2 linked regions of the Arabidopsis thaliana genome follow. The protein of the gene in region 1 purifies or fractionates together with the protein of each later gene. This does not show direct contact. Each region holds a gene or a part of one and is shown on either strand. Other genes may lie near its edges.

Region 1 (3,600 bases):
AGGTGTTTTTCTCTTTTCAAAGACTATCTTTAGTCTTCTTACTAATCAAGCTATAAGGAGTTGGCCAACTTTCAAAATCCAAGTTAAAAAGGTTAGCTTTTGGGTTTAGGCTAATCCAAAAGTGATTAATCGATCAAAGTGTAAAAAAAAGTCGTAAGCTTTAGAACGAATCTTGACAACCCTACCATCTCAAAATATCAAACAAAAATGGATCAAAATCTTGATACCAAGACAAACGGAAAACAAATCTTGAGACTTATTGCTTCCTTCCTCTTCCTTTCTTGGCAGGCTGTGTCTCCATCTGTTCTTTCCCGGTGACTTCTGAGAGATCGACTGCATTATACAACCAACATAAATAAACAAAGTAAGCTATAATACACCCAATGTTACACAGCACAAAAGGAGCTTTCCTTTTAAAGGTTGTGAGATGATGCACATTCAAGTTCCATTCTTTCAAGATTGGTAGGAGAAAAGCGATGTTTTGAGAAAATAATAGCCGGTGACGATGTGATACATTGTCTCATAATAGAAATAACCTCATAGCTCAATAAAACAAAGGAGGTTTTTTTCTCAAACACTAAGAGATAGATGATGCATGTTCTTTCTTTAAGTTAGATATGCAGAAAATGAAATTTTTACCATCAGGTCCTCTGGCCATGAGGGTGAAAAATATGTTATTCAGTTTCTCCATCTTCTTCGCTTCTTGTGCTTGGTCTGTCTTGAACTTGAGACACTAAGTTAAAGGAAAAGTAGAAATAAATCTATCATATATATACTTCACATAATAAGAATGGACAAGAATGAAAACAAGAAGACTACAACAAGGACATCTAGTTAACCACAGAAGTTGATACAATGATTTACATCAAAACTCAGCCCAGCTTAAAGAGTTCTAAAGTATCACACTTCAACCTCCACCAAGAACTATTGCTCTGAAGAGAGGACTAGATCTGCTTATCTAACACATCGCCATGCAAGACATGTTAAATTCATCAAGACGTACGAAAACATAACCTATTAGCAATCACATTGACCAAGCCAAAACAAAAGTAACCACATAACTACGACAAGGTACGATGAAAACTCAACTAAAAACCAATATCTCTAGTAATCAATCATCATGGAACCCTAAATTACATTCTCCAAACCAAGCATCATACCATCAAACCTCGACGAATCAGATATCAACTTCAATAGCAAATATTGAATTCCATACTATTATATAAGATAAACTCAAAAGAAGCAGTGATCATAGAGAAACTAGACACAGTCAAATTACCTCTTTGTTATCAGTAACCTTAAGAACCAACTTGCCGTCACAGTGTCTATACTTCATCACATACCGAGTCTGCACCACAACAATTGAAACATTAGATTGCGACCAACACGACTTGATTCAAATCAATTATCAAGGTTACCAAAATTCCCAGTACAAAAATCGAGGAACTATGTTCAATTACCATAAATCAATCCAAATATCTCAAAATCAACCGTAAATAGTGAAATCGAAAGAGGAGAGCAAAAAAATAGTTAACCTACAGATTCCGGATCAGCTCGAAAAAGCTGAACAGATCGATCAACGAATTCGTCCCACGATGCGATATAAACCATCTTGATTCAACTAGATTAGCGATTCGATTTGAGGCGATTGGATTCTATGAAATCTCCGGGAGACTCGACGGAGAAACAGAGAAGCAAAAAGACGGCTTTTTATTTGTGTTTTCAGAAGAAAGAAAAAAAATTTGAGTGATGATCAAACCGGAATAAACCGACTAAAACCGAACCGGTTCCTTAGTGTTAAGATTTCTAAAAAGAAAAACCCTAACCGTTCTTCTTCGAACTTCTGCAACTTTGTTTCTCCCAAATCTGTGAATCTCAAGTGTTCGTCTTCACCATCATGCTCTCTCGTTTATTCCTTAGACATTCGAATCTCCGTTTCGTAACCCTAGTTTCATCGAAATCAAATTCTCAGATCTTCTCTTCGTTTATTCGTCCGCTTTCGACTAACAGTAGCGGCGGCGGAGGAAATGGTGACGGGAATGGTCGTAATCGGAATGATGTTCCGTGGAGTTTCACTGGAGTAAACGATGATAAGTCTGGACCTTTCTCTTCCGATGATTCTTTTGGTTCTTCTGGAGTTGCAGGATCTGGTTTACCTGGTGGAGAGGGGAAATGGCCGGAGGAGCCTAAGAGATGGAATATAAAGGAGGAAGAGGAAAAAGTTGTGTTTGATACTGGTGGTGAAGTAGGTCAAGGGATTGAGACTAGTCGCGAGAGGAGGGGTAATGAATGGGAGGAGACTAAGAGATGGGATATGAAGGAGGGAGAGGAGAAAGTTGTGTTTGGTGGCGGAGGAGATGAGGTGGATGGGTTTGGAATCAGGGGAGAGGTGAAATCTAATGAATGGGATGTGTCAAAGCCATGGAATTTGAAAGAGGAAGAGGAGGGAGTTGTGTTTGATACTGGTGGTGAAGTGCCGTTTAGCTTTGAGAATAGCTTGGAAATGGCGGAGGAAGAGCGTGTGAAGAAGGAGTTGATTGAGAAGGAAGAGAAGGAGCTTCTTGAGGTTATCAAGGGTGAGACTTTTTTAATTTGTTTTGCTGATTCTTAAGTTTTGATCTTATATGCAATGCACCAGTAGTTTCGATATGTGTCTAGTTTTGGAATGCAGTGACAAATGGGTAGCAAATTTGATCTCATGACTTTCCTTGTTAAGGTTAGATTTGGATTTGAGGGTTAAGTCAAGTAGCAAAGGTTGTGTAATCAATCTATTTATAGGCATGCTTGCTGAGTGGAGGATATGATAGTTTTTGGAGTAAGCTCGGATGTTGAAGAGGAATAAGCATTTGGGTAGAAAGACTTGTGTTTGAAGTGGATAGTTTTGTGCTTACTGACGCTAAGGAACAGTTTAGTGCTTATGTGTTTTTGCTATTAACAATGTTCAGCACAATAAATTGAAGAATTTGTTATTTTGATCACATTGGTAATGGATTCTGCTGCTAGTAAAACAAGCGCTAGAAGTAGAGTAATTGATTTGAAACTTACTATTGCAGGTCCTGATCGAGCATTTGGAGACCTTATTGCTAAGTCAGGTATAACAGATGAAATGCTAGATAGTTTAATAGCCTTGAAAGATTTCCAAGGGGTCGAAGGATTACCTCCTCTGACTGAGATTGAAAACCTGCGTCGTGAGAAAAGTTCAAAGAAGTCATCAAGAGCTGAGATAGAACTCCAGATGCAAGAGGACATTGCCAAAGCACGGGTGAGACAAGTTGACGAAACAGGTAGAGCCTATGGAACTGGAAGAAGAAAATGTAGCATTGCACGTGTTTGGATTCAACCTGGGGAAGGAAAATTTCAAGTTAATGAAAAAGAATTTGATGTCTATTTCCCTATGCTTGATCATCGCGCTGCTCTTCTACGCCCACTTGCTGAAACCAAAACCTTGGGTCGTTGGGATATTAAGTGCACTGTTAAAGGCGGTGGTACTACAGGTAAAACCTCTCCACAATCACTTCGTTTTCTTCGACGATTAGTCCCAAAGTTCTCTATTTACACTAGCAAGTATGATTTATGCTTAAGCTAGAGGATTTGGTCATA
Region 2 (3,704 bases), on another chromosome or scaffold:
AGATAATGAGAATGACTTAGATAGTGATAGGAAGTTGATCAGGGTGGATTTTTGAAGAAATATAAAGTATTAGGTGTAGAATGAAAATAGAGGTATAGCTGTCTGAATAGGGACAGATGTTGCAGCGAGAGGGTCAGAGCCAGAGATGCCGTAATAATACGAACAATGAACATCTCTGAAGGAAGAGAGAGAGAGAGAGAGAAAGAGAGAATCTAATGGGATACGAAGCGAGAGATTTTGTTGGCCCAATAGAGCTGTAATGTCCCAAAGACACATCCTTTTTTCCATAACTATAACATTTTTATTAGAAGACCAATTTAGTTTGAAATAGATTATTGTCTAGTTACTAGTCTCTTGCATGTGTTTTTAACACATATAGACGATACAAATACATTTTGGCAGATATTGAAACCAAAAAGACGGAACAAAATTTTGAAGAGAAGCAATATAAGAGTTTCAGACCTATATGAGAATAAGAACTAATTTCAAGATCAACGAGATTATATAACTACTACCATGTAGAAGTAAAGATATACATAAAAGGTAAGAACGAGGTTCTAATGTCCAAGATCATATTCAGGCAGATAACTTTTTTTTTTTTTTTTTTTGAGCAAATATGGGCCTAATTCCTTTTTTTAGCATACAATCCAGATATTGAGAATGAATCTTATTTTTGAAAATATGGGCCTCTTACCAAAGCCTATTTAGTCTAAAGTGAGAATTGTTAAATGTAAAAAGGCATGCTCATATTAAAGAATAAAAATTCACCAAACTCTGTTGCAGAAAAGTCTTAACCAACATAACATTAAACTGCTTTCACATAGAAAGCAAAAGTCTTAAACAACATTACATTAACTCCTTTCACATAAACAGAAAAGTCTTAAACAACATTACATAAACTCCTTTCACACAGACACAAAAGGCTCTTTCTTGCTCAACGCATCAACACTCTTAGTTCAAGATTTCACCTGTAATGGGTGAAACATGTTGGCTCGTAGACTTCTGCCCATTTTTCGAACCGACCACTACCATAGGCTTTGGTGGTATCAAACCGGCCCTGAAAAGCATGCTTTCCACTGTGTCTGTTGGTTGAGCTCCAACAGATAACCAGTACCTGCATTATTCGAGTACCATAGAGTGAAAATCAATTTCTTTCAACAGTTGCACAAAATAAAAAAGAAGTTTAGTTAGACACCAAGAACTGTGTGGATTTAGACTTTTAAACCAGTCTAATCAAATCAATCATACAAGCAAAACCAAGCCTCACAGAAAACTTGCACCAGATGAAATGCATTAGGTGTAGAAACAACCAAACATGACTGAGAGAAGCAAATGAATTAAGGATTGTAGCCTTATGCAAATAGAGTTTTGGACACAGAATCAACAGAAAGCATCTCAATTTGTCACAATCTAAGCAATTAGGCAGCATCATTGTGGCAAGAACAAGTTTATGACCTTGCAGAATACTAAAGAGAATGAATTAAGATGATTAAAAGACAAACAAGAAAACACATTCATGAGGAATAATCAATCATATGGATAATGTCGAGAAAGAGACTCTTTAGTGTTTCAGTCTTATCAAACAATCATGAGTTTCACATCTAACTGGTGTCCTAAAATACTTGACACAATTATACAAGCAAACAGGAATATGAAGATGATAGAACAAGTAAAAAAAACATACTTGATTCTGTCGAATTTGAGGCTCACTCTATCCGCATCTTCTTTGCCTGAAGACGTACAAGTAGATTCATGATAGCAGAGACATTAGGAAGTGTTCAATTTTACTGAGAATTGAGAAATGTATATAGAGGAGAAATAACGAACCTTGGAGTGGATCATAAAAGCCTAACACCTCGATTTGTTTACCGTCCCTGCGCGATTTTTCATCGGCGACAACTACACGATAGAAGGGTCGGTGTTTACAACCAAGACGCGCGAGCCTTATCTTCACCGTCATCTCTGCTTGGAAATTGAGGTCTGAGAAGTGAGAAGAAAGAAGATAAGTAAAGGTTTTTATTTAAGCTGGTGGGTTTTGGCTTTTTCCCCTTATCTGTGTTCTCTTTCTTCTGTTACGATCGTTATTGATAAGATGGGCCATGTTGGGCCAGTTTACATTTTATCTCTTTATTCACATTAAGCCCATTAGATCTGCTATACGTTTCTTTTCGTGATTTGCTATACAGAAGTCACTTATCTAAAATCTCGGATTATCCAGAAATTCCAAAATATTCAATCAGCTTCCTGTCTTTAAGGATCTTCCTAAAAGAAATTGCTTCAAAATGTTCAATTTGAGAACACCAGCATCTTGTTATCGTATAGGTGTTTGACTGTTAGTAGAGAGATATACGAAGTCCATAGTGCATGCAACAAGTTAGATATAATAAAATAAAATAAAGTTATCTCCAGTCTCAACCACTCAGATGTCGAAATTCAGAGTGATGCGTACATCCTACGAGTATGACTTTTCAAACAACCACCAACATTCACAAAAATTGCAAAAGCTTCTACAAAGATAACCAAATTAACCACCACCAAACACAAACCTTCTTCCTGTTAAATCATTGCTACAGTTTAGCTGTCGTTTTCAATTCTAAGGTTCACACAAGATTAAACGAGCTCATCTATCAAGAGTTATTATGATCCATTCATCATCTTCTCCATTTCAACACTACAATTTGCTAACCCAAGATTCACAATCACAATCTGATCAACCAAATTAAAGAGCCATCAAAGAAAGCGATCAGTTAATGAACAATGAATCCTAAAATGCGAGTTATTTAATTTCCATCATGTACAATGAGATCTTCAGAAGCATCCGAATTACTTACTACTAAAGAGGAATTGAAATTGAACTAACAAATTTACACATCAATTAAACCCAGAAACTGAGAAATTCTACCGAGAGTTCTTGAAGAAACCATCCCATCGCCTTGTGAAACTTCGAAATCCCAACACAATCAGCACTTGAATTTCATGCCGAGACCATGCTTACCACGAACGATACCAGGCTTCAAAAACGGAGATATCTTCGAGGCATAGACCTTGGCGATTGCTCTTTTCCCCAGTTTCCTCATCCTTTGTCTCCCCACCTTCTTACTCACGCTACGCGGAACCAACTCTTCGTCAAGATCATACGAATCGTCGTACTCGCGATCTTCTTCGCCGTCGTCATTAACACTATCTCCGTACGTAATTCCAACAGAATAACCAGAACCTCCACCGAGAAACATCATCCGCTGCTGAGACCATCCAAGATCATTCTCATCAACTTCATCGCGAACGACATCATCGCCAACATCATCATCACCATCCAGATCCACGGCGAGATCACCACCGTCAGCAATAGGAATTATCTCATGCGGCGGAGAAATGACAGAGGGTGCGACAAAGGAAGCGTCGTCAAGAGATATGACGTCATCGTCGGAAAGACTATCGACGGAGAAAGAATCGTCGGAGAACTCGCCATCAGAAGGATTAACAACTTCCCAGAGATCGAGATCAACTTCTTGATCGAGAATGAGAGGAGACATGGTGATAACCCTAGATCGCTGCGCCATTTTCGAAATTGTGTGTTGTTTAGAGGTTGCTTCTTTGATTTTTCAAGACTGTTTGTTTTTGATAACCAGAGGAAGTTACCCTATTAATAGAGGCAAACCACCGAGTGTTATCTTGTGCTAATTGGTAGTTACACTGTTGAAGAT

Evidence for each region. Proteins that work in one complex are often made in the same cells at the same time.
Region 2: the proteins of AT3G49080 (region 1) and SSR16 fractionate together in Arabidopsis thaliana (co-fractionation; one large-scale study listed by BioGRID). This does not show direct contact.

The regions. Positions count from the first base shown.
Region 1 is NC_003074.8:18,194,955-18,198,554, reverse strand, and holds the start of AT3G49080 (Ribosomal protein S5 domain 2-like superfamily protein), read left to right. Parts: upstream 1-1,770; 5' UTR 1,771-1,897; coding exon 1,898-2,576; intron 2,577-3,053; coding exon 3,054-3,494; intron 3,495-3,600. Other genes in the region: AT3G49100 (Signal recognition particle, SRP9/SRP14 subunit), read right to left, coding at 257-333, 640-733, 1,280-1,348, 1,540-1,611. UniProt on the Arabidopsis thaliana protein: Mitochondrial ribosomal protein required for central cell maturation. May work together with PIA2 in controlling female gametophyte development, possibly by regulating the expression of some mitochondrial proteins.
Region 2 is NC_003075.7:16,534,133-16,537,836, forward strand, and holds SSR16 (small subunit ribosomal protein 16), read right to left. Parts: upstream 2,093-3,704; 5' UTR 1,961-2,092; coding exon 1,828-1,960; intron 1,731-1,827; coding exon 1,685-1,730; intron 1,115-1,684; coding exon 952-1,114; 3' UTR 723-951; downstream 1-722. Other genes in the region: AT4G34630 (prostatic spermine-binding-like protein), read right to left, coding at 2,961-3,560.